Notamacropus eugenii: one gene and its partners. The protein of the gene in region 2 binds, or shares a complex with, the protein of the main gene of each other region. Links are inferred from orthologs where the notes say so. Each region holds a gene or a part of one and is shown on either strand. Other genes may lie near its edges.

Evidence for each region.
Region 1: the proteins of GDF5 (region 2) and TWSG1 are in contact, whole or in part, in a crystal structure (PDB 8BWL), measured with the Homo sapiens proteins. The link is inferred for Notamacropus eugenii from reciprocal best matches to the Homo sapiens genes GDF5 and TWSG1. Residues at the interface, in NP_000548.2 of Homo sapiens: Glu434, Phe435, Pro436, Ser439, His440, Glu442, Asn445, Val448, Ile449, Leu452, Ser455; in NP_065699.1 of Homo sapiens: Cys26, Lys28, Cys31, Ala32, Ser33, Val35, Ser36, Leu39, Ile40, Cys44, Gln45, Cys46, Arg47, Cys73, Val74.
Region 3: the proteins of GDF5 (region 2) and HJV are in contact, whole or in part, in a crystal structure (PDB 6Z3L), measured with the Homo sapiens proteins. The link is inferred for Notamacropus eugenii from reciprocal best matches to the Homo sapiens genes GDF5 and HJV. Residues at the interface, in NP_000548.2 of Homo sapiens: Met412, Trp414, Trp417, Phe478, Asp480, Ser481, Lys488, Tyr490, Met493; in NP_001366281.1 of Homo sapiens: Arg95, Arg98, Gly99, Leu101, His104, Ser105, His108.
Region 4: the proteins of GDF5 (region 2) and BMPR1A are in contact, whole or in part, in a crystal structure (PDB 3QB4), measured with the Homo sapiens proteins. The link is inferred for Notamacropus eugenii from reciprocal best matches to the Homo sapiens genes GDF5 and BMPR1A. Residues at the interface, in NP_000548.2 of Homo sapiens: Arg399, Phe435, Pro436, Leu437, Ser439, His440, Glu442, Pro443, Asn445, Val448, Ile449, Leu452, Ser455, Met456, Pro458; in NP_001393490.1 of Homo sapiens: Gly65, His66, Cys67, Pro68, Ile77, Thr78, Phe83, Ile85, Glu87, Cys100, Met101, Lys102, Glu104, Gly105, Phe108, Gln109, Asp112, Ser113, Lys115, Ala116, Gln117, Arg120, Ile122.

Annotation. Positions count from the first base shown.
Region 1 is NC_092875.1:233,829,474-233,837,119, reverse strand, and holds the start of TWSG1 (twisted gastrulation protein homolog 1), read left to right. Parts: upstream 1-4,390; 5' UTR 4,391-4,560; intron 4,561-7,190; 5' UTR 7,191-7,229; coding exon 7,230-7,349; intron 7,350-7,646. UniProt on the Homo sapiens protein: May be involved in dorsoventral axis formation. Seems to antagonize BMP signaling by forming ternary complexes with CHRD and BMPs, thereby preventing BMPs from binding to their receptors.
Region 2 is NC_092872.1:419,486,005-419,493,955, forward strand, and holds the start of GDF5 (growth/differentiation factor 5), read right to left. Parts: upstream 3,419-7,951; 5' UTR 2,915-3,418; coding exon 2,296-2,914; intron 824-2,295; coding exon 1-823. UniProt on the Homo sapiens protein: Growth factor involved in bone and cartilage formation. During cartilage development regulates differentiation of chondrogenic tissue through two pathways.
Region 3 is NC_092873.1:303,318,946-303,327,390, forward strand, and holds the start of HJV (hemojuvelin), read right to left. Parts: upstream 3,588-8,445; 5' UTR 3,508-3,587; exon of another isoform or gene 2,487-3,507; intron 2,083-2,486; 5' UTR 1,996-2,082; coding exon 1,905-1,995; intron 1,387-1,904; coding exon 821-1,386; intron 200-820; coding exon 1-199. UniProt on the Homo sapiens protein: Acts as a bone morphogenetic protein (BMP) coreceptor. Through enhancement of BMP signaling regulates hepcidin (HAMP) expression and regulates iron homeostasis.
Region 4 is NC_092872.1:253,323,538-253,331,516, reverse strand, and holds the start of BMPR1A (bone morphogenetic protein receptor type-1A), read right to left. Parts: upstream 3,207-7,979; 5' UTR 3,094-3,206; intron 1-3,093. UniProt on the Homo sapiens protein: On ligand binding, forms a receptor complex consisting of two type II and two type I transmembrane serine/threonine kinases.

The DNA of each region.
Region 1 (7,646 bases), on a different chromosome or scaffold from region 2:
CTGGAAAAAACACTTTGTACTTTTATACTTTGAATGTCAGCCTCCTGAGTCAGTAGAACAAGTAGTTTTAAGTTATTACTGCTACTTGCCTAAGTCATGTCAATGCATGCTTATGAGTCTTTGTGGTTTAACATTTCTTTTATGTAGAGGAAATAAATAATTGTCCTATTTCTCTCATTATACTCATTATACATTGAGTACCTTTGTATTTTTCCCATCCCCAGCCCCACACTGGTGAGACCAGATATGAACTAAAAAATTTTCCCTAGGGTTCAAGGGTTAGAACCAGAGAATATGAACAAAAACCAAAAACCAAAAACCTGATCCCTCAGTAGGAGCCAGATTCCTCCAGGACTGAACACATTTTGAATGAGGAAAGGGGGCACCTTTGTAGAGAGACAAAGGACTGTCACCACACACACACCCTTGGGTCCAGCAATAGTTCTTAGTATTACATTAATGTAACCATGACTCCCACCCAAGAGGGTCACGGAGGGAGATATGACATCTAACTGGTTGAGAGAATGTCGAGGCAACACTGCCTATCTGTATGCATAAGGAGAAGAATTAGTGCCAGAGCTTCTGACAAAGATACATGTAGTGAGAGAGACTTCAGAGAAGAGAAAAAGCAAGACTTTGGAAACTGCAGATGTGTAGGGAAAACCAGCTCCTCACAGGGTGTCTAATTTCCAGTTTTTCTCCTTAAAAACTTTGAAGAGAGAATTTCCCTTTGGGGGATATTAAGGCCTCTGTATTGACTTGAACTGAGATCTTATCTTACTCCCAGCAAAAAAAGTGTATTCCCTTTTGTGTATTTTCTGGTATATCCTAACTGTAGAACTCTAATTTCTATTTACTGTTTTGCTTAAACAAATGGTTTATTTACTATTCAAAGGGCTAATCTGGTAAATATAGGCCAAGGGGTACCATACTTCCCTAAGAGAAACCAGAGATATATCTATTTCTTCCAGACACAAATATCAGCTATACATTTAAATGTCATGTACATATGTGTGTATATATATGTCATGTAGCCATACATGCTATATAGGTGTATCTATACATATAGATACACATATACACACATTTAGACACATCATGTGGGTATATGTGTTTATATGTACATATATGTATCTGTATATATGTATTCTGTATAGGAACATATACATTTAGACAAGTCATGTGGATAATATATGCTTAGGATAATATGTTTAGGAGGTAGGTAATATATGTTTAGGATCATATACACCTAGACAAGTCATGTCTATCTATATGCATATAGGTATACACGTACATATATCCATATACTTATCTAGATATATATGTACATGTATATCTATATATACATATATGCTCCATGGGCAGTTGGAGATATAGGACTAAAACTTAGGAGACAAGGACTGAATATGTAGGTTTGAAGATCATCTGAACAGAGTCAGAATCCATGGGCTCTAATGAAATCACCAAGACAGAAGAAAAAAACTGAGTGTTAGCCCTGGGGCACTTGCATGAAGAGAGTGGGCAGCAACATGGATAATGAACTTGGGAATCATCAACAAGAGTCAGCATGAAATGTAAGAAGATGATCATGACGGAGTTGTGTCAAGAAAACCCAGGGCAGAGAGATTATCCACAAGGATTATTTATTGCTGAATTCAGCAATAAAGAGCTCATTGGTGACTTTTGAGAGGAATTTCATAGACCTAACATTGGAAGGGACCTCAGAAGACATCTGGTCCAACTTCCTCATTTTACAGATGGAAAATGAAGGTTAAGTAACTTGTCCAACGTCACATAGGTGGTAAGCATCAGATGTGATTTGGACCCTCATTTGAGTGGCAAGCACAGAAACCAGATTGCAAGAGGCTGAGAAGTGACTAGGAGATAGGGAAATGGAAGTCATTACTATAAATAGCTTTTTTCTGAGTCTGGCTGTGAAAGGGACCATAGCAGTATAGGATGGTAGGATCAAGTAAAGGTTTTTTCTTAAGAGGAAATATATGAATACAGTATTTATTGAAAATCCAGTTTTTTCCCTCAAGGAGCTTATAATTATCAATTATAATTAATTGATTAGGAAACTAAAACAGGTTGAAGTTAAGAAATGGTCAGGAAAGATAGGTCAGTTAATTGCTCAGGCTGAGTTGCTTATAGGAGCGGTGTGGTGTAGTAGATGGTGCAGTAACCCTAGAATCAGGAAAAACTTTGTTCCAGTAGTGTCTCACACACTTACTAACAGTGTGACCTTGGGCAAGTTAGACCTTTCTATGACCCAATTTTACTAAGCTGTAAAATGAAGGGATTGAGCTAAATGACCTCACAATCCCTTTTAGCTATAAATTGATGCCCACCTAGAAGTAGGGACTCTTTTCTGCGGAACTTCTTTTCTTTGGGGAATTGATTCATGCTTTAAAAAACAACAGCAACCCACATGTACAAAAATATTTATAGCAGCTCTTTTTGTGGTGGCTGGAAATTGAGGGGATGCTCCTTAATCAGGGAATGGCTGAACAAGTTGTGGTATATGAATGTAATGGAATACTACTGTGATAGAAGAAATGATGAGCAGGCAAACTTCAGAAAAACATGGAAAGACTTATATGAACTGTTGCTGACTGAAGTGAGGAGAACCAGAACACTGTATACAGTAAAGCCACGTTGTGTGTTGACTGACTGATAAATTTAGCTCTTCTCAGCAATGCAATGACCTAAAACAACTTCGAAAGACTCATGATGGAGAATGCCATCCACATCCAGAGAAAGAACTATGGAGTCTGAATGCAAAGTGAAGCAGACTATTTGCTTCATAAGTTTTGTTTTTCTTTTTTATGGCTCCTCCCATTCCTTCTAATTCTTCTATACAACATGACTATTGTGAAAATATGTTTAATAAGAATGTATATAGAGAGCCTATATCTTATTGAATGCTATCTTGGGAGGGGGAAGGGGAAGGAGATGGAAAAATTTTAAAACCTATGGAAATGAATGTTGAAAACTAAAAATAATGTTATAAAAAAACAACCACAACAACCCAAAAACTGATAAAAACAGAATGCCATTTTATTTGCTGTGAGAAATATAACTCCTTATAGATCAGATATTACTGTCTGCTCTGTGCTTTCTAGGTCTAGCAATGTGATCTTGAATCAATCACTTGACCTCTCTGGGCCTCAGTTTCCTTCACTATAAAATAAAGAGATTGAACCATTTAAGTCTCTTTAGTTCTAAAGCTATGATCCTACAAACTCATTAAATCCTCACAAGTGGACTTAACCTGTTACATGATGCTGACACATCCTAGGGAGGTGGATAAAGGCAGCTACTTAGTATTCTTTTTTTTTTTTTTTTGGTAAATAGTTAAAACATGTACAAAAATATTTATAGACTTAGTCTATAGTGTTAGTCTAAGTGTGAGTTGAGATAATCTCAGACCCTGTGTGCTACACAAAGAAAACCTAATTAAAACTCTGGTTTCCTTTAAATGGTCCAGGAAAATCTGTGTCTGCCAAAGGCCCAGCCTCAGCCAGAACCTCCCTAGAGTTAGATGATCCTAGGCACCTTAATTGTTAGGCTAGTAAGATCCTACATTTGCTATATACATTTGCTATAATAGAAAAGAAAAAGGAACTGTCTGTTCTCTGATTCAGGGATTGTATTCAGGGAGGTGAGGGTGACTGTTGGTGTCACTAGTTGGGACAATAATTATCCTATTTGGGATAATTTATCAAATTGCTATTTTCACTGTCGCTAATGAAAATCTATATTTAAGATGCTGACTTGTTTTACTTGGAAACTTCATAATAGTTCTCTTTTGGACAAATAAAGGAAGAGGGGAATTAGCTGCTAGAAAGGGGTTGATAAACAAATACAGAAGATAGGTGGGTTGTAAAAATTGGTGTGTGTGTGTGTGTGTGTGTTTGTCCCCTGGAAGACATATATTTCAAAAAGTTGGAGGTGGGGTAAGGACTGCTGGAGTGGGGAAGGCAATGGAGAGAAAGGGGTAAGCAGGGAGAAGGGTAAGCTTGGGAGAGTGGAGGCATGCTGCGTGATGAATGTGCCCTAGAAGTGAGGACAGAGGGAGAGGTCAGGGGTTATAGAGAGGAAAAGGGCAAGAAAGGACTGGGGGGATACGGCTCATAGAGAGGGTAAGAGGATTGGGGGTGAAGGAAGAGGGAATGAAAGGGAACGAGAGAAAAGGTATGCAGGAGAGGGAGAGAGGAGGGGGCTGGAGAGGGAGGGGCCTGGAGAAGGAGAGGAGGGGGGCTGGAGAGGAAGGCTTGGGGGTGGGGGGGTTGGCGGAGCCAGAGCAGCCTCGTGGGCGAGGAAGAGGAGAGGAGAAGGGCCCTGTCTCTTTAAGGTGCCCGAGGCGGGGCAGCCCCGCTCTGCGGAGGGGGGCTGCCGAGGGGGGGCGGTGCCCGGGAGAGGTAGGGGGCGGGGGTGGCTGGGCTGGGGCATCTGCACGCGCTGCTTCCCCAAGGCCAAGTTCCCGGCTCCCCCGGCTCCGAGTGGGAAAGAGGGACCGAGGGCAGGGAGGGCGGCCCGGCCGCGCCGCGCCTCACGGTGAGGGGAACTCGGGGCTTCGGGGAGCGGCCTGGCCGGGCCTCTGGAGGAGAGCGGGGCGGGCGGCGGCCGCGGGGGGAGCGGGGTTGCAGCCCGGCCTGGGCCCGGGTCGGTCCAAAGGCAGGACTCCCTTAGATGTTTGTCGAGTTGAGTAGCCGCAGTGGGGGGAGTGGGGTGCCTGGGTCCCTCGGCCCGCGCTTCTTTTATCCTTTTGAGACATTCATTCTTTCTCGTGGGCATCCTTCTCTGTCTGAACCCAAAGAGCTGCGAATCCAGGCCCCCAGACCTCCCCTTCCCCCTTCCCTTCCTCCCTCCTTTATCTCCTCCCTTTCCCTTCTCTCTCTCCTTCTCCCCTTACTCCCCTCCTTCCCCCCTTCTCTCTCTCCTTCTCCCCTTGCTCCCGTCCTTCCCACCTTCTTTCTCCTGTCCTTCCTTTTCTTTCCCCAAACAAATGAAAGAAAACGCATCCCCGAGCCCAGCCATCCTTTGAAAGTGCCTGTAGACTGAACTCCCTGTAGGCCTCCCTCTCCCAGCCTCTTAATCCGCCCCTGCCCTGATTCGAAGGTGAGAACATCTTTGTTAAGGCTAGGCTTGCCTGGGGGCCAGTGCCGGTCCCCCGGTGCCAGTCCCCCAGTGCCGGTCCCCGGGGCCGGGGCCCCGACGTCTCCTCCCGAAGGCAGAAGCCGTGGGACTTGACTTAGCCTTGGCCGGGAAGATGGTTGTCTTGGGTGTTTAGGTCTGCTACAAGTTAGTCCACAGTTTTGGTTTAGTAGAAATTGGGTTCGATGAATGAAAGATTTGGGAGAGAGATGTTCACTTAAGTTATTTTAGGTATCAGCAAATGAACATTTAAGTGAGGCAGAATTGGATTTGCAAAAAATGTGTCACTGATTTTGTGTTGTTCTTCGATTGCTTAAATTGTTTCCTCTTAAGAAAATAAAGATTATTTAATAAGCTAAATTTGTTAAAGTTTTTTGAAAAAAAAAAAATAACCTCCTACCAAATACTCCTTAATTTGTAGTGTCAATAAGATCAAAAACTAGTGAGGGAAAAAACCAGAATTAGAAATGGCATATTCTGACTCCACAAGTACATGCCAGTGGCTCCAGAAATTATCCCATTTGGTCAGAGTAGTTTAACAAGTTACAAAGTTGGGTGACTAACGTCCTTTGGGGAATGTTTTGTGGTTCTAGTAATCATCAACAGGGCTTTCTCTTTCTAAATTTTGAGTCATACTTACCGCCATTAATGTAAGAGTCTTCATTTCTCCCTGCTGTTGGCTTACAAAACTTGAATGCTTAGAATGAAATAGTAAATGTAATTACAGAAATCTCAAACTTAACTATCCTTTTAAATTCGAAATGTACCAACTTAAAATTTTTAAAAATGTACCCACATATACACCTAAGTGTATCAATAAATTCAAGAAGTTATATATATATTTTACATCTGATCATCTTTTTTTCTGGTTTCTTATAGTTTTAGCCCTATTGTGTCTTTCAAGAACTCATAATGGTGCCTCATCTATAATGAATTTGTGCAGTTAGTGTTTTGAACTCTCCCCTCACCCTGTCATTCACTTAAGCTTGTGTAGGTTATGATAGGTTACAAAAGGAAAGAGAGAGCTTGTGAGAGCTACCACATTTAAAGCACTTCATACGTTTTGTTTCATTTGGGGCTCACAATAGTCCTTGAAAGTTTGTAGGGTAAATCTAAATGTCCACATTTTATGGACACTGAAACTCATGGAGGTTAAGTAATTGTAAATTTTTTTGTCGTGTTGGTTCAGGTCCATTTTATAAAAATATGAAATAATTGTAAATCAGCATTAGTATATTCTACATTTAAAAAACTCATTGATAATACTATGATTGAAAAACATTTTATTTTATGTGTGCTGTGGAGTTGAATGCTTATGTATTTGAGAAGCTGGATTTTTGTTGGTGTAGGATATACCTTACATTAACACAAACCACAACCCTCCTTATGCCTTAGCTGATCAACTTCCAGAATTGCTGTGGTGGAAAAATTCATCATCCTGTAGCCAGCATGGTGATGAGCCTCTCCAAATTTAGCTAGGCAGATCCTCAGATGGTAACCTATTTCACAGGGTCCCTACTCAAAGCCTTTCATGGATGTAGGACCTTTCAGGGCTTATGCTATGCTACTTTATGGAAACATGGGATCCCTTTAATACCATAATGAGTAACCAGAATAGAACTTTTAGAGGGTTGATGAAAGTGAATAGTCTCTTATTTATATTCCCTAATGGGCCTGCAAATGACCTTCTTGGTCTGAGGACCAAGGTAGATAAGTTTGAAGCTCATTATTCCCAGATTAGGTAAAGGGTGATATATTTTTCAAGCATGATTACCGAAGTTGAAGAACTGACCTTAAATAAACTTTACCTGTTTGATATAATCTAAGTTACTTAGGTGGGGATATATTGGAATTGTACCAACTTTCTGTGGATAGTTTACATTGTATTATAATATAAAGTTTTTATTTATTACTGAGCTTTTAATCAACTTTTATTGAAAATTATATTCAACGGAATAATTCCTAATTTGAAATTAGGAGACTGATTTTCACTCTAGTACTGTCTATTAAAGTGGAGTTTTTTATTTCAGAGCTTCGTGGGGATTACCCCTTGTCTGCTTTGAGGAAACATGAAGTCACAGTATCTTGTACCTACTGTAGCCATACTGATATTCCTAACATGGATCCCTCTCTCACTGAGTTGTAACAAAGCTCTCTGTGCTAGTGATGTGAGCAAATGCCTCATCCAGGTATGATTTTTTTGTTTGTTTGGACTTGTGATTTCATTAATATAGGGAATTCTCATATTGAAACTCTTTCCATGGACATAGATGGCAACTTCTTTAATATTGACAGTCTTATAAAGTTGACTGGTGACTCTGAGAGGCTAAATTACTGTCATATTGTCAGCCCTGTTATTATAACAGGCAGATTTTCTTGACTCCAAGGTAGACTGAACTGCTTTGCATCCATAATTTATCAAGTTCTAATTTCCTGTCAACTTTAATTTTTTAAAAATGACATTCATGTTCCCATTGCCAGTGTAA
Region 2 (7,951 bases):
TAGACCACATTGTTGGCAGAATCAATGAAGAGGATGCTGATGGGACTCAGCCTGGTAGGTACACAGCAGGTAGGAGGGGTAGATTCTGGATCCATGGAGTTCATGAGAGTCTGGATGACAGCATGGTTGGTGGGCTCCAGGTGAGATCGAAGGGGAAACTCACAGAGTCCTTCACAGTGGAAGGCCTCATATTCCAAGGGTGCAATGATCCAGTCATCCCAGCCCATGTCCTTGAAGTTAACATGCAGTGCCTTGCGACTGCAACGGGCCTTGGGATTCTTGCTGGGTCGCTTGCCCTGACGTGTTGTGAGTGGGGCCCGCCGTTTCCGACGCTGACTGAATAGGTACTCATACACAGTCTTATCATCTTGGCCAGAACGAGCCTTAATTTCATTAAAAAACAGATCACGTTTCTTAGTGCGGCCAAACACCAGAAATAAGGCCTTCTCATGGACCTGACGAGCAATTCGGTCAAAACCCACACCACGTAGGTCCATGACACGACCTCGATCCCAGGCCTCCAGCTCCAAACACAGCTGAGCTGAGTTCTTAAAATTTCGGAAGAGCTTCCAGATGTCAAACACTTCCCAACGGGGGCTATCCAGACCTGGTACAGAACGTACATCAAGCAAGATGCCTGGTTGCCGGCCACTGGGACAGCTAGACAACTTCAACTGGGCTGGCCGCCCAGGGACAGATGGCTTTGACCCATCTGAGGGCTTTTTCCGCAGGATCCGTAACTCAGCTCCCAACAACCCATCTTTTTCCAGAGCACTGATGTCAAATACATATTTTTGCTTCCTGACTGCAGGACCTCTGTCATCTAGAGAGAAAGAAATAGGATCATTCTTGATGCTCCTGCAGAGTCTCTGTAATGTACAGGAAGAAGCTACTGAATCTAAGAAAACTACTTAACATTTTCTCCACTAGGATAGAAGCTGGGACCCCACATTCTATTCTGAGAGTGTACAAATGAAGAGAACTTACTAAACAACAAGTACATTACCAAATCCATTGTGGGCATAAACATGCAAGCAAGTGTGTGATGTCCTCTGATGTCCTCTATACTCAGGGTACGTGTGTATCATGGGAGAAAGAGACAGAGAGAATGTATAACTATGTTGAAGCCCATGTTCTGTGTGTGTGAACTGTATGTGTTTTACTCATTGGGTAGGTGAATATATCTCTATAGATGATCATTCAAAGGATGTTCTTATATGACACAGCTTCAGTATATGTCAGAATATGTTATCCTACCTAAACACCAATTTGCCACCAGGGAGTATTCACATGTTGGCCTAGAAGGTGACTAATTGGACTTTTAAACTCCTCATCTCCCCTCCCTGAGCAACTTCAGTGCTAGGGGACATGGGGACTTACTTTATGAGTCCTGAAGGAATTACAGCTTTCCCTAACTGGGCACAGAGCCAGCCTACCTCCCCCACCCCAACCAGGCTTGCTGCCACTGAGCCTGGCTCAGTCTCACCCCCTCCCCCAACATCAAATGTTTAATGAATATGTTCTCCCCCTTCCTTAAACTCCCTCCCAGAAGGCACTCAAGTAGAAGTTCTAAGAATCATAGAATTTTAGAAACTCATAGGTGGAAGGGACCTTAGAAATCTTCTAGTACAACCTCCTTATTTTTTTATATAGGGACAAATTAAGACTCAAAAAAGTAAGTCCCTTATATAAGATCACAAGAGAGTTAAGCGGTCAGATTGAAACAGAAGAATTTGAGCACCACAGTTACAAAAAATAAGGAGAACCTAAGTTCTCCTGGGTTATGTATGAAAGTACCAAACCATTTAGCTTTGTTTAGGACAGGAGGACTCATTGACAGTGCTCTTCTCCCACACCATCCCCCAGCTGAAATTCCATCTCCTCTGCAATGAATCCCTTGTTCCCCTCAACATTCCCAACGCTCACCTCTGATCTAGCTTCATCTAGAACTAAGGGAGGAGAGTCCATGCAAATAAAGAACAAGGAACTGAGAAACAGGATACCAAGGTTTTCATCCCAGCTCATGCAACCAATGCACTATGACCTTCAGAAAGTCTCTTGCCCTGTCTGAACCTCAGTTTTCTCCTCTGCAAACTCATGGACCTGCACTGGATGAACCTTAAGGTCCCTTCCTGCTCTGATGTCCTACAATTCGATGTCCTAGTGCATGTAGCCCACACAACCAGATGCACAATAATACAAGAGGTAACCTCTGGCATGTGTAACTGGTAGCTGGGAGATAAACACACTCCCCTGGACATCCCTCCTTGACCTGGGGTTAGCATTGCCTCTCACCTTGCCCTTTGTCTATGAAGCTGGTGATGGTGTTGGCCAGCCCAGCCTCCAGCTTCACGCTGCCATTGACTCCCTTCCTATCAGCATCCGATAGCGTCCTGTACAGGGAGAGCATGTACTCATGGGGCGTGACTGGGGGTGGTCGGAATGGTTCCTTGGGCTCGCTTGGGGGCCCTGGCTCCTTGGCCTTTTTCAGTAGGAAAGTACTGGAACTGGGGCCGCCCTTTGGAGGAACCTTGGCACCAGGGAGCTGCCCTTTGGGGGTCACAGTCCGGGCTCCCAACTGCCTTGCATGGGGGAATTCTGGCTTGGGCTCAGGACCTCCGGATCTCGAGGGCATCTTTTTGGGCTGATCCTTCTTGGGTAGTAGGCCTCCAGCTTGGCTGGCGCTGCCCTTTGCCCTGGCATTAGTGGCTGCCCCACTGATGCCATGTCCCCCCGGCCTGAAGCTGCCTCTGGCCGGGGGGGAACGCTCCTTGGCTTCTGCCTTGGCCAATCCCGGTCTGGACCCTGAGCTTCTCTGTGCCAGGTCTGGGGCACTCAGAACAGTGCTGATAAGATCTAGGTCCAACCAAGTCAGGTGCCAGAGCAAGAAAGCGAGGAGTCTTGGGAGTCTCATCCTCTAACCTGCCGCTGATTGGCACCAAAGAGAACAGCGGCGAAGGTATCTCTGGTTTGGCAGGAGAAACCATGAAAGGAACGAAACCTGGAAGGCAAGGGCGGCAGCGGCAGCGGCAGCAAGGGCAGCGGCAAGGGCTTTCTCCTCAGTCTGAGACTCTTTAAATCTGCCTCTTGCGCGTCTGTATCCAGTCCCATAGTGGAAACGCTCTTGTATCCAGACGTGCGCCCGTCTTCAGTCAGCAGCTGAAAATAACTCGTTCTTGAAAGCAGAAAGCCGACCGCCCCTTTTCTCCTGCAGGACTGACGGAGAGTTTGAAGGAGGCTTGTTTTAAGTCTGAGGGTTTTTTCCAAGAAGGAAGAATGGCGTAATGCTGCCTCTGGGCTCCAGTTTTTTTTTTTTTTTAAGTTTTGAATCCTTTCCAGTGAAAATATTTCACACACACACACACACACACACACACACACACACACACACACACACACACACACACACACCCGCTTGCAGGTGCTCAGTGAAAAAAAAATCTTTTACAAACCTGAACTCAGGAATTGGAAACGGAATTCCAACAAAAACCAATTTAATTACTCTCTGATGTCATGCTGTCTAAACTAATTTAAGTACGATATATTTATGTGAAAGAAAAAAAAAAGTCGTCTCTGCCTTTTCACGGACGGTGACTCACACCGGGGATGGGGGTGGGGGTGGGCGGTTCAGTGGGACCCTCATGCCCAGGGACTGCCCTGGAGCCTTGGGAGGAGCACGGGGCCTCCACCTGGGGTGTGCAGAGCCAGCCCCATCCAGAGGAGAAAGCAATTCACGGTTCTTAAAGCACACCACCAAGGGGGAGGGGGCGGCAGGCTAGTGCGGGGCAGGGGGGTTGGGGGGGGGTGGATTGGGGGAGGCGGGTCTAGGTTTTCAAAGTCAAGTCCTTGGAGTGTTTTTAAAGTAGTTACTACTCAGCCTCTGAGTCTGGGGCCTAACGGAGGGGGCACGTAACAGTCAGTAGTATTTACCAACAGCTCCTTTTATTTTAATAAACTTGAGATGACCTGGAGACCGATATGCCTTCTTCTATCCCACAAGAAAACGCTCAGAGGATGCCTGGGCCCCAGAATGTCACCCTGTGTATGCCACCCCTTTCGGACCCCACTCCCGCAGGGGACGTTGGTGGAGATGGTTTGCATAGGCTGCTCCCAAGTTCCTACCAGTTAGCAGACTGGATAGCCCTTCATTAGGGACGGGATTTACCCAGTCCTGGAGCAGCAGTGACCCCTGCAGGACAAGGGAAACTCACCACATAATTCAAGGTGCCCCTCATTCTTGAGACATACATGGGGGAAATTCAGGTGTTTCTTAAAATGTCAAATCGAAAGCCAGGCACTTTTGTGGAAGCTGAGGTCGATACTAGGTAGGACATTGCAGTCTGGCAGGGGTGGGAATCTTAATGAAGAAGATATTTTAGTCCAGGTGCAATAATAATAATAATGATGATAAAATGCATTTATATGGCTCTCTAAGGTTTGCAAAGCACCCTTTAGAAACATCCGCTCACCTTATCTTCACAATCTTAAGGGGTAGGTGCTATTATTATCTCCATCTTACAGATGGGGAAAATGATACAGGTAGCGGTTAAGTGACTGGTCCAGGGTCACCCAAGCAGTCAGTGTCTGACGCTGAATTTGAACTTGGTCTTCCTGACTTCAGACCCATCACTCTAACCACTGACACCACCTAGCTGCAGGTGTGGGTGTACAGGATTTGTCACATTACAATAGCTCTTATCCAAATCCTTCAAGCTGCTGAGATCTGGGAGCCTACAACTATAAAGCATATTGTCTTCATTGTTCCAGGATTAATGGGACAGTAGACATCAAAGAGCTCTATCTTTACCAGGTGCCCCAAACTCAGCCAACAGTTCCAAACAAGAGATTGCTAGTTTAGCAATTCATTGATCTTAGAAAACTATCCAGAGTCAGTTTTAGCTCAAGTTTCTTGCCTTTTGGACAGAGGAGAAGCTATGGTAAGTCTAGGAAAGAAAAGAACAATTTTACTCATGCTGTCCCAACTTCAAGTTATCCTTGGAGAAATGAGTCTTCCACTGCCTTTGCCATTGCAATGACCCAAGCTTCAATTAAATCTTAAGGAAAAACAAAACCTATCTTGTGCTCACTGGTCTAGTTGTGGAATCAAACATCAGAAGACCTGGGTTTAATGCTTATGATGTTACTTTTGCCTTAGCCCTTGGTGCCAAATGGGGCCAATGGTGAACAAATGAGTTGTAAAACCTTGAAACAAGACTGTAGGGTAAGGGAGACTTCAGGACAAAAGCTGCAGGAAATCCATAGTAGAAAAATCAAGTTTAAAAAGCAGTAGAAGAATTCATAGTTGACTGTATTCTGCTCTGAGACTCCTTGGAGACTATCCTCTCACTCCCTCCAACACACTGGGATACTGGAGATATTAAACACCCTCAAAACATAGGACATTATCAGTGGGGACGGGGCTTTCAGGCATGGGGAGGGGGAGAGAGGGAAAGGCTTGGGGACAGGGTGGGAGGCACTCTCAAGGGAAATGCCCAAGGGACACATTTGGCTCTTACTAAAAAGGTGACTAATCACTTCTGTCCCCTTTGGTAATTGCAACCAGATGCTGCCTCTGGCAGTGCCGACATCTTTAATTACTGGGACCCAGAGCCCTGGTTCCCCCACCCCACTCCACCCCCATCTCCCCCTATGTCTCCCTTATATGTCAACAATATTAATGTCTAACTCTAGGCAGAGCAAGGGAGCCTTGGGAAGCAGTCATTCTGTCTGAAATTCAAGGCGTGAAAATAATAGCAAGTTCTTACATTTGGTTTTTCTATTAATAAATTTTGTCTTAAAGCACACAAACAAAACAAAATATAAAATCTTTCAAAAAGTTACTCAAAACAACACAAAAATCTGATTGCAAATGTTTGTACTTGCAAGTGTTCGCTTTTATTATTTGTTTGTTAAAAGAAAAGAAGGTGGTGCTTTAACAAAGCAGTACCGCCATTCCCAGTGTATTAAACCTCAGTTTTATTGCTATTTAAGGCTGTCTTCCACTTCGATAACTACCATCAGTGAATATGTTGTTCTTTTGCAAACCCTTATGTTTGTAGAAAACTTTTCATTTTGTAGAATATTACCTATTGATTGTTACATTTGAATCTCATTATCCCCGTGAATTAGGAAGGGCAGGGATTATCATGCCCATATTACATAGGAAGAAACAGAGGCTATAACTTCATCCTGCAGGTTGGGGAAAGAAACAGATTAGAATCTGTCACCTGACTCCCCAGCCTGGTTCTTTTCCTACTCGTCAGGGTATAAGGTGAATCTATCACTGAAAAGTTATTAAAAGCCTAACTGGGTAGTCAACTAGCAAGAGCCCCTGATTTATACTCTAACTCCATTAAGGTGCTTCTACCCATGTCAATTATCTTAGGTCAACACAAGCTAGACAGTCCTGGAATAGAAAACATGACCTTTAAGAGATTCAGACAATCAATCCATCAACAAGTATTTATTAGTAATTATTATTGACATTTAAATAGTGTTTTAAAGTTTGTAAAGCACCTTCATAAATTACCTTATTTGAGCCTCAACAACATTCCGATTTAAAGACAAGAAAACTGAGGCTCAGAGAGGTAGTGTCTTGTCCATGGTCTCATAGCTAGTTAATGTCAGAGGCAAAATTTGAATCTATCTTTCCGACTTCAAATCCAACACTATCCTATGAGATTCCACATTTTCTGATTGGTCAGCCCTTTGCACACAGCTTTGTTCATCAGAAACTCTTAAAGAGTTTACAATCACTTCAGCAAAGTTGCAGAATATAACCCACAATCATCATCATCATTTCTTTATACTACCAATAAAATCCAGCAGCAAGAGATAGAAAAAGAAATTCCACTTAAAATAACCACAGACGATATAAAAAACTTGGGAGTCTACCTGCTAAGACAAACCCAGGGATTATATGAACATAATTACAAAACACTTTTTACAAAAATACAGGCAGATCTAAACATCTGGAGAAATATTAATTGCTCATGAGTAGGCTGAGCCAATACAATAAAAATGACAATTCTGTTCAAGTTAATTTACTTATTCAGTGCCATACTGTTGAGGTCTAGAGGTGCCGGGACCCCAAAATTCAAGGCAAACAACATAGGTCCTGCCTCGAATGAATTCAACTCAAGACTTCTTTCAGTCTGAGACAAGGTTTATTAAAACATCAATCAGGTTAGGCAAGATTTTAAGAATCCACAATATTGTGACACTTGTATTGACAAGCAGACTAGATTGAATCTGAGCCATTGGCCAGATTCTTAAGGAATCTGAGCACTTTAATAGAGACAAAATGAACCTTATATACAGTGGTCAAGAAGTGGGAATATCTGGATGGGAATGACTGTAAGAAAGGGTCTAGAAGGAATAAAGGATGAGAGGTGGCTGGGGTGATTGGGAGGTAACAATGAAGGGCTGTGCTACATTAGAGGTAACAGAGAACTGGAGGTTTGGCAGGTGTGTGTGGTTTGTCCCTCGCTGCTGAAAAAAACCATGCCATCAGAGAAATGATGACATGACTTGCACTTGACTTTGTTTTGAGTGAGGGAGGGCTGTGCAGGTCACCAGCCTCACTTCTCCTCCAGAGCCATCTGAATCCAGTGACCAGATATTCATCAGGATGACTGGAGATGATCCAGGATGAGGCAAATGGGGTTAAGTGACTTGCCCAAGGTCACACAGCTAGTGAGTGTCAAGTGTCTGAGGTGAGATTTGAACTCAGGTCCTCCTGACTCCTGCACTGGTGCTCTATCCACTGCACCACCTAGCTGCCCTGGTTTAGGAGGAGGGCCAATGAAAGGCCAGTAGAAAGGATAACTGCCAAAGACTAGGCCATGTGGGAAAGCTCAAGGAAAGTTCAAGGGGGTATCGTCAATATCAGTCAAACTACCAAAGAATTACTTTATAGAACTAGAAAAAAATTGTAACAAAATTCATCTGG
Region 3 (8,445 bases), on a different chromosome or scaffold from region 2:
TGATTGTTGTGCCAATGTAGGCAGCTCGAATCTCCACTCGACTCCCGGGGGCCTCTGCTCGGATGGTCAAACTTGAACCTCCAGGACGATCACCTCCATTGACTGATCCATCTTCAAAAGCTGCTGGGAGATTGTTCACTTCAGCCTGGTAGACTTTTTGGTCAATACATTCCTGCATGTTCTTGAATATAATGGTGAGCTGTTTGGGGAAGGAGAAGAAAGGTTCATTTCTGGTCAGCTTGAGCTTTCCTAAAATCACCCTCTTCCTCAGCCCTAAATCCATCTGTTCCATGTTAAAACACCCTAGTCCTCTTCGCTGCACTCCTCCTTTCTCCTAGGCGTCCCTGAATACCAAGCATCCCTATTACCAGTTCAAATCATTCATTCCTCACTCCTCCTCCCTACAGTCTCAATCTTAGCAGTTTCTATAGGTGTGAGCTCTTTTAGAAACTTCACCATCTAAATTTTTGTTTACTGAGGGCTCTGACACTTCCACTTTTTCTTCTAGATTCCCTGGACAAGGAAAGTGACAAATAAGAAGGAGTAAAGGGAGATGCTGGTAGTAAAGGGAGTCGATGAGAAGGTGTGGGACAAATAGTTAATAGTAGTAACGGAGAGGGAGAGTCTGGGAGAGTAGCCAAGAATGGAGGGAGGGAACAGCAAAGGCATAAAATTATGACGGAATAGCCAATGAGGACCAGAGTGGCTAGTGTATATTTTGGGGGCAACCATTGCCAAAGAAACTAATCAGTAAGTGGTTGTGCGGGTCGTGGTAGTGGAACTAAAGCTGTTCATAAGGACTGACTGTCTATACCCTGACCTTCCCCGTGGCAGTGGCGTTGGCTCCAGTGGCCACCGGGTAGCTAGTAGCCTGGACGAAAAGGAAGTCGTTGTCCAAAAGAGGCCAGGAGCCTTGGACACGGCACGTGTGGAAGTGGTGGTGGAAGCTGCGTACGTGTGGATCCCCAAAGGCGGCACAATGCAGGAAGCCCGGGGGACGACCGTGTAGCCTAGAAAACCGGCCTTCATAGTCACAGGGGTCTGGAGCAGGAGGGCCAGAAGAAAGGGAGGAGCCAGAGCCAGGAGGGGCGGGACCCTGAGGAGGGGGTGGAGCCGTGGGACCCTGGCGGGAGCAGTTGTGTTGGATCATCAAATCTTCTATCCCGTGGACAGCAGAATGGAAGGCCAAGTCCCCTCGGCAGGTACGCGCAGTACGCCGTGTGCAGAGCGCATAGGATCGCAGGGCGCGACATAGGCCACCAGAGTTCGCCCCTGGGCCCCGGACTCCACCTCCCCGGTTCCCTCCAGCAGATCCCCCACTTCGTAGGTTCAACGTGGATGATACATACTCAGCGTTGCAGCGGAGGATTTTGCATTGAGAGTGAGCTGGTGGGGGGGGGGGGGGGGGGAAACGGGAGGCGGGAGAAGAAAGGGGGAAAGGTTGGGGGGAGAAGGAGGGGGAAAAGATAGAGAGTGGAGGATTTTATTGTCAGAAAGGCCTCACTCTATCCTCAACCTAGCTCCCAACACCCCTCCCACAGTTCATTAGTAGGGCCCCAACCTTCCAAATAGCATATACCAATTGAGGACCACCTCTTCAACCTCGGTTAAACAGTTGCCAATCCCTTTGCCTTTCCCTATGACAGTTGGACAATGCATGTAGTTCCTAGTCTTTCTGCTAAAGAAGCACCCTCCCTCAGCTAAGGGATCTTGCCAGTTTCTCCACCCCTCTTTCCAGGGTCTCTCCCTTCCTCCTCCCTCCTCCTTTCCCCGAGTTCTCCTTGATCTGTGATATACCGGTTGTAGTCCTGAGTTTGAATGTGAATGATTGGGATCCCTCAGGCCTTTACTGTATCCCCCTTTCCCCTTGCCTCCCCCAGACCCTTCCCTAACCCTCCCCTTACCATGTCCACAGAAGAGCAGCAGAAGAGTGAGGGTGCTTAGTGAGCTGCCACGGGTGGACCAGAGACTTGGGGAATGGCTTGGTTCCCTCATCCCTATCCAGCCAGGTCCCCCCTGGTCCCCAGGTCTCTTCCGACTGCTGGCTGGATCCCCTGGAAGGGACCTCAGTCAAAGAGAAATCTGGTTGGGGGTTGAGGTGAGAGGAGCCAAAGTCTGAGTGAGAAGGGTTATAGGGGATATATAGGGAGGTCAAAGAAATGATGGGAGGTAGGAATGAGAGGAGAGAACTGGAGATTTAGGGCTTGGAGAACCTTTCTGGCACTGTGTCTTCCTCCCATGGTCACCCCAGGGCCCTTGTGCAACACCCCAGTCAGAGGTGGAGGGAGGATGGGGGGCGGGTGTTGGGATGAGGGGAGCAGAGTCCACTGTACTGACCCATCCCAAGTTGACCAAACAGTAGAGGGGTCAAAAGACAAATGACCAAGCGGACAGAGCTACTCTGTTACCCCAATGGGCCCCTCAATGGGAATACAATCTGGGAACATTTCAGAAACACAACTCATTTCCTTATGGGTTTACTGAAGACCCAGGTGACCTGGCACGCCCTTCATACCTGGATCAGGAGAATGAAAAGAAGGGATAAAACTAGGAATATCTAAGGCCTATTTTGAATAGTGACATGCAGATCAGTTTCTTTTGGAACCTAGATCTACTAGGTAGGTGTTAGCCACCTGTTATGCTTTCTCCGTAGAATAACAAGTGCAAAATGAGTGTGTAAATCAATTTTTTTTTTTTCTGATCCAACAGCTCCTTTGCTTTTCCTAATATTCCGGTAATGCTTCTCCCAACCACTAACCCCTTCAGCCCTGCAAATATAAAATAATCTGCTCCTCCCTTACATTCAATACCTTTCCCTTCCCTGCTTTGGTAAAACTAATCGCCCATTACTAATCTGGTGGAGAACCTGGGCTAACATTGGGGTGGTGCAAGGGAGAGATTGTGCAGGTGAAGCATAGACTGGAGAGAGGCTGATAATTGTGAAGGGAGGTCTGTAGTTGAAAGTTGCCTCTTACACTCACAATTCAGAAGCTCTTTGGGTATGCCTGGAGGTGGGAATAGGGTAAGGGGTGTCAGTGCCCAAATATCTGAGTCTATAATTAGCTTTGGCAGAGAGAACCACAAAGGTGGAGACTTAGAGAACACCCCCTAAACCCCACCAGAAAGTCTGAGACAAACAGTGAGAATGGAACAGGAGGATTTCTGGCTGTGAGACCCAGGTGATGGGGGAAGGGTAGTAAGAAAGGCTGGGTATAGCCCTTTATTCTTTCTCCTAGAAAAACATCCCTCTCAGCCAAGTCATCTTACTAGACAATTTTTCTTCCCCTTCCCCCCTTGGCACAGAGTCTTCTCTGCTCTAGGATATATCCCATGTAGTCAGCATATCAGCATGCAGTTCTCATGCCAGCTTGAGGAGATTGGGACTACCAGCCTATGTAGCCTAGAGGAACTGAGGTTGGTGTCCATGATTCTCAGCATTAAGAAAAATGCAAACCCATATGCTAACCAAAACTTTTTGAAAGAAGCTTTAACTTTCTAGGGACTTACCTTTGTATCTAGAGGTCGTGTCAGACTGTTATCCAGTTTTCCATCCAGTGTTGCCTACTGTCTGTCAGCTTTATCCAAGGGTCCCATATCTCCTTTTCCATGTCCCTTTTCGCTCAACTCCAGTACCGAGCCCTAGCTACAGGCTGTCTGAGGCCAAGGAGCTAGGAAAGATTTGGGGGGTGAGGAGTGAACATACAACGAAAGGGATGGACAGCTGGGGATGGGGGAGAGAGGCTAAGTTGAGGTGGAAGGAGGCCTGACCACTGAGTTGAGAGTTTTAAAAATAGCCAGGACCATAATTCTGGGGGGAGGGAGGGAGCAGGAGAGCAGAAAGATTTGTAGTTTTGTGTGTGTATATGTGTGAGTATGTGTGTGTGTGTGTATGTGTATAGAGATAACAGGGGAAGGGGTCAGATATCCAGTTCCATTCTATATGAAGCCCCAGTCACCATCTCATCCAGGCAGTCCTTAGGGATTTCTAAAACATAGGGTCTTGCCCTTGAGGAATTGGGGCAAGTACTTGGATATGTCCCCTTTGGATATTGCTACCTGCTCTCTACAGATGCCATTTTGGTGTGGAAAGCAGCTATCATTAAATAAAAACTACTGCAGGAGATAAATCCCTCCCCCAAATTCCTCAACCCCCACTCCCCCAAGTCTATCAAAGTAGGGCCAAAGAAACCAGCTGCCCAGAGAAATCTGAGCCTGGAGTTGATGAGAAGCTGGGGCTGTTAAAATCTATTTTCCCCTGCCCTAGATCCACATTTAGCTCTGGTCTGTGCAGCTGCTGTCTGTTCTCCCTCCCCACTTTCCTTCTTACTCCTCTCCCCATTATTCACCTCCCCCAATAAAAAAAAGAGTCCAGCTGAATTTCTAAAGGAAAATAATAAAAAGTGTGAGTATGTAGGCCAGGGGAATCTCCCTGCCTCCCTCTGCCACCAAATCACACAGATAAAAATCATTATAGTACTTCACAGGGAAAAAGTAAATTATTTTTTTCCTTCTGAAAGGAAATCATTGTGTCATAAATTCAGAGCTGGAAGAGACCTTACAAGTCATCTGGTTTTTTTGCCTCATTTTACAGATGAAGAAACAAAGCCAGAGATCTCTTTTCCAAGGTCGTATAGGTAGTAAAATGGCAAAACTCCAATCTGAACTTCGTAAAACATTCCACTTACTTAGTTAAAAAAATTAAGAGTTAGGAACATAAAATTGCAAAATGGTTTTTTTTGTGGCTAATAGTTAATGGAGAAAGAGAAGAGGGAAATTGGAATAGTAACAGACAAAAAGAGGTTTAAAAAAAGACAATTTCATGGAGTAGCAGCTCCATCTTATGGCCTTCTAGTATATTACAGCTCAATATTTATATTCTTTTCTGGTCCACAGGCCAGCAGCATATCTTTGTATTTCCCCTACTGACCAGAAATAAGATTAGGGGCTAAATCTGCCCTATAGGCCAGAGATTTATAACCCTTAACATGGATGATTGGGCTAGGCATAGTGGCAAACGTCTATAATCCCTGCTATTGGGCATGCTGAGGCTTGTGGATCTCTCAAGGTTGCGATTTCTCAGCAGTAGGAGGCTAAATGGATTGAATGGATCCAATATAATGAACCTGTAATAGTAAGGCGATCTTTTTAAAACCTCCCTGATTGACTCATTATCACATTCACCAAAGTGACTGTTAACAACTTTTTCCTCCCTCCTCAAATTTCTCTCTGCCATCTCAGCTGAACACCTTGTTTCATTCTTCACCCCAAAAATGGAATCCATATGTCAAGAGCTCCCTCTTATCTCCTCCTCAGTTTACATTACTGAGTTGTATTCCTTAACTACCCACCTTCATTTCATCCTTGTGTCATATGAACTGGCCCTTCTCCTTGTCAAAGCTAACCTATCTACCTGTTCCGTTAATTGAATTTTCATGCTATCTTCTTTAGCAAATTGCCCTCCTTTTCATTCTCACACTCTAATTTTCAGGGTTTTTTTTTTTGTTTTTATCGATTGGCTGCTTCCCTGATGTCTACAACATACCCATGGGCATCACCATCCTTAAAAAGTCCTTAGATGATTCAACCATTTCCTCCAGATATCATCCCATATTTTTCTCTTTTTCACCAAACTCCTTGAGAAAGTCATCTAATAGATGTTTCTACTTCTATAGATGAGAGAATATCCATGAGAAAAAGATTTTCAACATCATCAAATGCTGTAGAGAATTCAAAAAGGATGAAGACTGAGAAAAGGCCATTGGATTTGGCAATGTAGAGGTCATTGTTAGTGTTAAAAAGTTTCAAGTCAGAAGCCAGACTACAAGTTAAGTGAGAAGAGATGATGTGGGAGCAGTGAGTACAAACAGGTATTTAGGAGTTTGTCTGGGAAAGGAAGAGGTATAAGACGATAGCTTAAGGAAGTTGATAGGGTTAAATGAGGATTTCCAAGGATCAGGGAGATGAGCATATTTTTAGACAGGGGAGAAGGCAAAAGTGGCTAGGGAAAGACTGGAAAATTAGAGGTGGGGGATGATTGTAGGGACAATCTATGAGACCAGATGGGAAGGCAAGGTTGGCCTTGGCAAGGAGACTAGAGTAAAGGAGGAGACAATGGGGAAGGGAATTGTCAAGGGCTTTGAGAGTTCAAGGAGAGGAGAAGAGGTCAAATTTTCTCCATTTTCTCAATAAAATATGGGGTGAAATCCTTTCCACACCATGCTACCTGCTGCTCCAGCCTCCCCTCTGCCTCCTGGAACCTGAATTCCCAGGATTTGGTTTGATTAGCTTTTATTTTACTTAGTCTTGATCTCAGGCCTAGCATGCCACTTTGGGGCCATCTATTCTTTGCTATATGTACCCCTTAACCACTTTCCATCTCTAATTATAGACTATAAGCTCTTTGAAAGCACGACTATCTTACTTGATTGTATGTGTTGTTGTTTGTTCTTCATTATTGAAGAGGACCTATGACACCATGGGGTGATGTCCTAGCTTGTGTGTGAATTGGATTTAAGTGAGACAGAGCTGCACAAAGTCATCAGCCTCACTCTCTCTTCCACAGTCATCAAAGTCTACAGCCAGATAAAAGTCAACACATCCATGATGGCCAGGATATAGTGGCTGGGATGCACCTTCATGTGTTTGATGTCCGATCAAGCTCTAAGTGCTCTATAATGCTATGTGGGGCATTCAAGAAGGGTTTACCAAGCCCTCTTCATCCACCTTTGGTATCCACCTGCTACCAACTCTTACCTGTGACTCCAGGAAGCTGTTATATTCCCATTGACCAGCCTCTGCTGAAACTGAATCAGCAGATGGATTAAACCAGGTTGAGGGTAACCAACAGGCCTCAGATCTGTCGGTGAGTTACAGGGATGTCTACCCCAAGCATGTGAAGACTTCTCCCAGTGTAATGGAATAGGTTTGCATTTGTATAATCATCACTTAGCACAGAGCCTGGCACATGGAAAGTACTTAATAAATACTTTTTTATTCTTTCATTTTGCTGAGATAATTGGAGAATGGTATGTTGTAGGGGACTTGAGGAGAGAAGAGATAGTGGGCAGCAGTTTCTTTTGAGAATAGAGAATCAGTTAGGATTAAGTTAAAGGATTAGGGGCTCAGTTTAGTTTTATACCACATATATTGCCACTGTGCTAGCTCAGGTCCTTATCACTTTGTTAGTCTCTTTGTATTCTCTAATCTAGTCTTTAGAGTGGCCAAATAGATTTTCCTAAAGTACAGGTCTGACGACATCCATCCAAGAGGTAAAGAAGTTCTAGTGGCTTTCATTTAACTCCAGGATATCATACAAAGTCTTTTGTTGCATTTTTAAAGTCCATTGTACTGTGGCTCCAGCTTGTCTTTATCCTTTCTCCCTGGCCTGCCATGTTTTCCCAACCCTGGCTTCCTTCAAGGTCTTGCTTAAGTGCCGTTTCTGATGTCTGGATCATTAAGTTGCTTCTGCTTTCTCCTGCCCCCAAGAGAATGCTTTTATTTTCTTTTGGTGTACACATATTTCTGTGTATATATGTGTATAAATACATATATATATATATATGTATGTGTATATCTTAAAAAGACTATCTACAATAGGTGCCTCCACTTTCTCTTTTCTCATTTTCTTCTTAATTCCTTGCAATCTGGCTTCAACCTTATCACTGAAACTGCTTTCTCTAAAGTTACTAATGATCTCTTCTTAGTTGCCAAATTGAGTGGCCTTTTCTCTGACCTCATTCTCCTTGACCTCTCTGCAGTCTTGGGTGCTGTTGATCATTTTCTCCTCTTTGATGCTCTCTTCCCTCTAGGTTTTTCAGATACTTCTCCCCTTACCTATCTGACTGTTCTTTCTCAGTCTCCTTTGCTACATCCTCCTCTGGATCACCCTCTCTAACCTTAGATGTCCCTCAGGGTTCTGTCCTGGGTTCCCTTCTCTTCTCCTTCTATACTACTTTACTTGGTGATCTCATCAGCTTGCCAATTACTGTTTATGTAATGACAATTCTGAAATCTACCTATCCTGTTCCAACCCTTCTGTGACCCAATTTCACATCTCCAAATGACTTTCAGACATCTCAAACTGGATGTCCACTAGACATCTTAAACCCAATTTGTCCAAAATGGAACGTGTTACTTTTCTCCCTAAACCCTTTCCCCTCCCACCTTCCCAGTTACCATCAAGGGCAACATCGTTCTCTCAGTCCCTCAGTCTCATAACCTAGGAGTCATTTTGGACTTCTTCCTGTCTCTCACCCCCCCATATCCAATCTGTTGCCAAAGTCTGTCAATTTTATCTTTTAAGGTCTCTTGAATATGGCCCCTTCTCTCCTCTGACACTGCCCCACTGTGATGCAAATCCTTCTCGACTCACACTTGGATTATTTCAGTGGGCTAATGGTCAACCTCCCCCAAATCTCTCCTCACTTTAATCCATCCTTCCTTCAG
Region 4 (7,979 bases), about 170 Mb from region 2:
AAGTTACTATGGTAACGGAAGCTTACAACACAAATATAGGAGAAAACAATAACTTGAATACATATACAAGAAGGAAAAAGACAGACTGGACACAAGGTCAACAAGAATTCCTAGAAGTGATAAAGAAACCAATTTTTAAAAAGAGAAAAAAAATGTTTTAAATCAAGTAAAAGTAGTATATAAAAAATTGGGAAAAGAAATGAGCGCTTTGCAAGAAAATTATGAAGAGAATTAGTAGCCTGATAAAAGAGGTCTAAAACAACACTGAAAAAAATAGAAGAAAATGTGAAATATCTCATAGGAAAAACAAGTGACCTGGAAAACAGATCAAAGAGAGAGAATTTAAGAATTGCTAGACTGTCTGAAAGCCATGAAAAAAGGGCTGAGACATCATATTTCAAGAAATTATAACGGAAAATCACCCAGATATCTCAGAATCAGAGGGCAAAGTAGAAATTGAAAGAATCCACTGAAAGACACTGCCTCCTGAAAGACACTTACATTCTAATAAAAGACAACACAAATTAGAGGGCAGAAGCCAAAAAAAAGAGGGGGGCAGTTTGGTCAGGGAAATTGTGGTGAGTGGAATTACAAGGAATCATCACACCCGTTCCAGAACCAACAGAAGTGTTCATTTGATTACTCTTACCCAAGGTATATAAAGGAAGAACATGGCAGAGGTAAAGCATGGAGAGAGCTGGTAAAGAAGGATCTCTGACCCTCTAGATGCAGTGAACTCTCACCAATCAGGGTAGCACGGTCCCAAAGCACAGTTCCAAACTTAAGTGGCTTAGTTCCTGCAGGGCATGGTTTCTAGTGGCCTGATTAAGAGGGGTAAAGCAGCTGCAATGATAGAAGCAACAGGGCAGCATAAAGGGAAGATAGCCCAGGTAAAACACAAAGTAAGTGCTCACATGGATAAATAAAATGGAATTCCAAGTTTAAAATGTTTCCTTTTATAATTCCCACCTTAACCTCTACTATTAAGACATCATAAAATTCATTTTAAAATACATAGCTATTTTTAAATAGATAAAACTTTAAAACACAACACAAAATTTGTCCTAAAGATATTAACAAGTAAACTATCTCCAACTCTCCAATAAGAATGGGTCAAAATTGAAAAATCAATGCAAATGAACAAAGATGAATACCTTTATGAACTACAGTCTTCTAAGTTATTGACAATGCTATGTCTCAAATTTCAAGTCAATGGGATAGAAGCTTGTGGAAAAGATAGATTGCTAGAGATTAATAGTAAATATTTTTTCATACTTCTTAATTTCAAGTTTTAAAACACTGTGAATAAAAACCTAAAATAAATATATTTTAGCAAATTTAGTGGTTAGAGTTAAGAAAGGCAGAAAAGTGTCATTGCAGTTTGCAGTAGGGATGAATATCTGAAAAATGTACAGCAAAATCAAGGTGAAGTACAATTAAATTGGCAGTGGTGCATCACCCTCCAAGGTAGTTACAATCACCAAGAAGAAAAACTCCATAATAAATACATAATAGAATAATAATTCAGTGTGGAAGATATAAATAGCAAGTCCAAATTTAGTACAAACAGTCCAGTAATTCTTCGTGAAGTTTTTTTTTTTTTAATCAGAACTCCCAAACTTTGTTAGGAAGGGGAAAAACAATCTATTTAAAGATGAATAAAATATATACACTTTAAAGGTATTATAATTAGTCATTAGATACAAAATAAAAGGCTTGACTTCTTCCCAAAAAGTTTTAAATCTAATGTTCTTAAATGTTCACAAAAAATATATACTTCATACACTTAGGAAATGTTCTCTTTTTCAAAGTTTCAATTGCTATTTCTGTAACTGAACCTTTGTATAAAGAATGCACAGCTGCTCAGCAGATGTATAATTTCTCTGTTTAGATTCCATTATTTCTAACTTCATTTTGCTGGATGTTTTTGGATGTTCTATTTCCATCTGGTTTTTGACCTCCCTCAGCTCTGTTCCTTCTTCCCCCAATCTTATTCTGTTTTAGTTCATTCATTAAGTACCTCCCCCCCCTCAAAAAAACCTTCTTCAAATTAGAAACATCTTAACATTCATAACTTGTAAGCTTTCTAGAAACCTAGGAGTAGGGATTTAGGAAGGGAGACGAAGGCGGAGAAGGAACAACAATCACATGACTATGCCAAGACAGAAAGCTATTTCAACTTAGCTCCTTGTTTTTTTTTAGTTTCCCTTTCACTGAATACACACCAATGCAATTATAAGAAATTAATGTGAGACAAAATATAATTTCAGTATTATTCACTTTCTTCTTTCTCCAAAGTCTTTAGTGTTAATAGAAAAGTTAAAATTGTATCATATGTTTATATGAATAGCAAATAAAAAACATTAAAATTAAATTAAATTTTCAATGACTATAACTACATTGAATAACTTTTTTTATAAATTGGAACAGTTCAGGAGCAGCCCACAAAATAGACTCATACAATATTAAGTGATCATAAATCTAGAGCTGGAAGGGACCTCAGAGTTTATCTAATCTAGCTGCCTCACTTTACAAATGAGAAAATGAGGTGCAGAAAAGTTAAGTGACTCGCCCAAGGTCACATACATAGTAGAGATTTCAACCCATTTCAGAGCCAGTGTTCTTCCCATGACACTCTGCTGACATGATATGTACTTGCTTTCAGACAGATTCTAGAGCACAAGAGTAACATTACTAAACTGCTCATTCTATGAACACAATATCAAGGAATATCAGGAAAACACCTGGATCAGTTGCAACTATTGCTAGATGAGGAAAAACACTGCTTTCCCTGCTATTGAAAGCAATCTCTTCCCTTTCCTCCCCTCCCATATTCAATCAGTTGCTAAGTCCTATTGATTCTACCTTCCAGTCTTCTCTCCTCTATGCTCTCTGCTCTACTCTAAGGGTACCACCATCTCAGTGCAGGCCCTACACCTGGACTATCCTGAAGTACTGAAGTAGGTGGCTAGTTGATATCCACATTTCAAGTTCTATCCACCACTCAGCTACGAAAGTGATCTTCCTAAAGGTGAGGGTCTGCTCAAACCCACACCACCCCCAATTCAGTAAATCCCAGCAGCTCTCCATTACCGTCAGGATGAAACAGAAAGTCCTGTCAGGTTTTTAAAGGCTTTCATAACCTGGTCCCTTCCTATCTTTCCATTTTCCTTAAATATTGCTTCCTTCCCTGTATTCTATAATCTAATCACCCTGGAGGCTTTGCTGTTCCTCGAACAAAACATTCCATCTCAGGATTCCAGGCATTTTCTGTGGATGGCCCTCACGCCTGGAATGCTCTCTTCCTCAACTCCACCTCCTGCTTCCCTGGCTTCCAAGTCTCCACTAAACTCCCATCATTTACAAGAAACCTTTCCCAATCTGCCTTAATGCTAATTGGAAATTATCTCCAACTTATCTTGTTTTCATATTGTTTCTGCCATTAGAATGTGCGCTGGCTGCTTCAAAGACAGAGGCTGTTTTTGCCTTCTTTGTATCCCTGTCATTTAGCACAATGCCTGACACATTAAGATTAAGTGTTTAATAAATGCTTCTTGTTTGTGGTTTATTCTCATCTAATCAATGGTTTGTTGAGTACCATACTCTGTACATGACACTGTTCTTGGATGCTATGAAAAATAATCCCAAAAGATATGCACTCCACATATTCTCAAGAAGTTTACAATTTAAGATAAACATGAACAAACACATACAGCAATGATTATTTTTTTAAATGATTTAAAATGATTATTTTTTTTTAAATATACCTAGAAGGTCTGGAATAAAACATTGGCTTTTTTAAAAATTCCTATATTTAAAACTTTTCACCAAAGGGATAAGCAAGATAAATGTTTGCTTAACTGAACTACAGATGTAAAAAAAAGGCCTATTTGCTGTTTCTCATTTCTAGGAAACACTATAGGAAGCAATAAAGAGAAGACTCTCACCCATGAGAAACTATACAAACATCATATTTTCATTACAGGAATCTTACAATCTTGCAAAAAGTATAAGCTTTAGAAGGAAACACATGTAAGCTTTTTTAAAAAAAAAAAGCCTAATTAGAACTTCCTGTGGATATTAATGAAGGAAAAAATTGCCAGACTTTAGAGGAAATATGATGCCATCATGTATGTTACTGAAAAAGTAACTAACATAGGAGAAATCATAAAAATTAGAAGAAAAAAATCTTCAGGATCAAAGTAAAAACATTCTTACTCTAATTTGTTATAAATTCTACCACCACACTTACAGGAAAACACTTAGCATTTCTATTAACTAGCTTATGATTAATCCTTTATTTTCAATCCAGAGCAGGATAAAAACCTCAAGTCCTTGTTGCTCAATGAGATACACCTGTATATACTACACGTTGAAGCAGTACTTCTACTGATATTTTCATCAGTTTCAAAATTAAGTCATTCAAAATAATACAGAATATTGGAGAATAGGCTGTTTTGGTTAATGTACAGTTTGATTCAATTCAATAAACATGTAGGAAATGCCCTCTATTTGACCAATATAATGTTAGGTGTTAGGCATACAAAGACAAAAATGAAAACTGCTCTGGCCAAAAGAAGTATGTTTTGTTTGTTTGTTTGTGGTAGGATCAGTGCTTTGACTGTCGTTACATGGAGCTAATCCCTCTTCCCAAGGCAGATGGCAGTTGTCAAGAAACCCAGGAGATGCCAGGGTGGGAAAGAGTTAAGTGATTCACCAAGGGTCTCACAGTCGGTATAAGTCAGATGCAGACTCTGAATCCACGCTTTCAAAGCTAGATTCCTCTCTGTGCCAGCCTCAATGCCTAGGCACACTCTGATGTAAACATCCAAGTATACAAAGTAATAAGGGCAGGGGCTAGGCAGAGTTAATTATAGGACCTCCACTTGCAGGGAAGTCCTGGCCTTCAGCAATGCCTCCTGTGCTCCTCAATTCTTATCCTATTCCTTCTTTACCTTTTCCTTAGTTAAACAAATTACCACTTACCATACATGGATTACAAAATCTAAAAGAATTAGAATTTTTAAAGGCATCAATCTAAAATTATATTGACTATAATTTAATCTTTGATGATTCAGAAACTACTTCAAGATTGTGCTATGCCTCAAAGCCCCTACGAATGTAAGTCACTGTACTAAGATGAAATGTGGATGGAAGAGATGTTTGCACTGACCAAAAGAACCCAGATGTATTATTTTTTAAATAAAAACTAATATTTAAAACTTAAATTGAATGTTATTTCTCTATACTGGCCATGCTTAGTCCCCCAGAAGAGAAGCAGAATACTTCCCCCTTACAAAGCTGAGGATTTCTGCTTTGAGACACAAACACTTTGTTAACATGCTAGTTAGGTTTGCTTTTTTAGTCATAACTTTTTTCTTTTTCTTTTTCTTTTCGTTATAAAGGATAGCTTTCTGAGTGAGAGACAGGGAAAAGATCTACTTAGAAATGAAGATGATGTGAAAAGACATGAATAAAAATTTAAAAACAAGTCTGTTATCAACTTGTCTCTTCCCCTCCCCCCCAAAAAAAACTGGGTTTCAGAATTCTGTCATCTCTAAAAAAACATTAAAACATTAAATTTAAAGTTATATGACCTTTCTAGTTGTCTCCATTCAGAAAAAAAGGGCATTAAATGCACATTCATATTATTCTTTAAAAAATCTTTACAAAGGGAAGATAATAATTCCATTTGCTTAACCTCAACTAATTTTTTCAATAAAAAGTGATCAATCTAACAACCTATTACATAGTGTTTGCTCTTTTATGCAAATTGATAGTTGCTAGTAAATGAAGAGCAAAGGTCTAGTTAAGTTACAAATGCAATTACACTAAAGAGGTGATGTCACACAGTTAACAACTAGTTTTATTACTAAATGTATATATGCACAGAGCTGACACTAACTCCATAAGGTCAAAAGTGAAGCTTATCTTTTAAATTTTCTTATCGAATAAAAAAAAAAAAAGCTTTCACTGAAAAATCTCCACCAATCAAAAGCAGGGCTTGATTAAATGTTACTTCATGTTACTTTGAGGATTATGATCATTTTCATTTTATTTTTTTGAATGGAGCTTTTGTTTTTACATCACTTTTATTTCCAAGTCTCTCTCTGTCTCTCTGTCTCTTTGTCTCTGTCTCTCTCTCTCTTTCCCTCTCTCCTTCCCTCCCTCAAATCACTTCTACACACACAGTCCCACTCTCCACCTAGGGAACTATCCCTTTTATCTCTTTTTAAATTTATAAAATGCATAATATTTAAAAAGGAAATCAATTATATTGAAAAGCTGTTATTAAGATTAAAAAAAAACTCAAATTCATAAACCCCAAACTACAAAAATCTTCTTAAGAGTCTTTATTTTTATTTCAAAAGTTATTTAATTATTTTAAAAGAGAATAGTGTGAAATCCTTAAAGTGAAAATAGAAAATACCCCTTCGGACCTGCCAAGGCATTTTCATAAATCAAACAATCCAAACTCCTCATTTTATAGAAAAGAAAACTGAGACCCAGAAACAAGAACTTAGAATTTAAGTCCCATGGCTGGTTTATGGAAAAGTCAAAGCAAGAAAGAATAATCCAGGCCCACTCATTCCCAATTCAATAACTTCTCCCTTACAGAATATTTTCCTTATAGAAGGCTTTCTCACTCTCTACTTATCCGTCTTTCACAGACAGAGCACACCCCTTTCTTTTCCTTTATCAGCATCTGCTAAATACTCAATTGGTCACAATTTTAATCCAAACTTTTCTTCCCTCCCCTTTTGCCTCTATCATAAATTCAAATTTTGATATAATGTAAATAAATATTCCTCATAGGATTTAGGAGTTTTAGATAAATGCCCGTTTAATCATTAAATTCCACCTATTTCCAATAACAGCACACCCACAGCATAGATTACTATTTAATACAGTACTAGGGATGACTACCCAGGGGTGGGGAACCAGTAGTCTCAAGACCACATGTGGCCTTCTAGGTCCTTGGATGCAGCCTTTAGACTGAGTCCAGATTTTACAAAACAGATACTTATATTAAGGGAATTTGTTCTGTGAAGTTTGGATTCCGTCAAAGTGCCACACTTGAGGACCTAGAGGGCCACATCTAGGCCACAGGTTCCCCAGCCCTGTACTACACTGATCCCAGTAAAAGTCAATCAAAGGAATTAGGAATGATTACTTTTGAGAAGACTTCAGAGAATGAGGATCATGGAGTTAGTTTAAGGTTGGAATGACCCTTAGAGAGATCAATCTAATCTAATTCCCTTATTTTACAGATAAGGAAATTGGGTCGCACAGACATTAAGTGACCTAAGAGGCATTGTGATCTGGTGGAAAAGCACTAGACCAGGGGTGATTAGACTGAAGTGTGTGGACTTTTTAAATATGTGATAAACTACATTTCAATACATTTGGTTTCCTTTCCAATCCTATGCATTTTATTTAAAAACATTATTCTGAGAAGCAGTCCTGAGGCCACACACACACACACACACACACCCTCTCTCTTTTTCCACACACACACACATACACACACACACACACACACACACACACACACACACACACACACACACACACACACACACACACACCCTCTCTCTTTTTCCCTCTCTCTTCTTTTGATAAGAAAATCTATACTAGACAAACAGAAGTCCTGGCTTGGATACTGTCCATTTCACTTCTCCAACCCTCAGTTTCTTCACTTGTAAAATGGACATCGTATTCACACTACTTGCTTTATAGGATTGCTATGAAGAAAATTTGGTCAAACTGACATAATTTTTAATAAGTTATTATCACTGCCGAAGATCAAATGGGTAGCAAAGAGAAGATATGCAGATGCAAACTTTCAGGGGGGTTTTCTCAGTAGTCTTTCTAGCAACTAGGCTATAATATGATCAATCTTTTCAAAATTGGAAGTCAGGAAAGAGAAATTAGACATACTCTAATTCTAGAAGCCAGAAGGAGATATGGATGGCAAT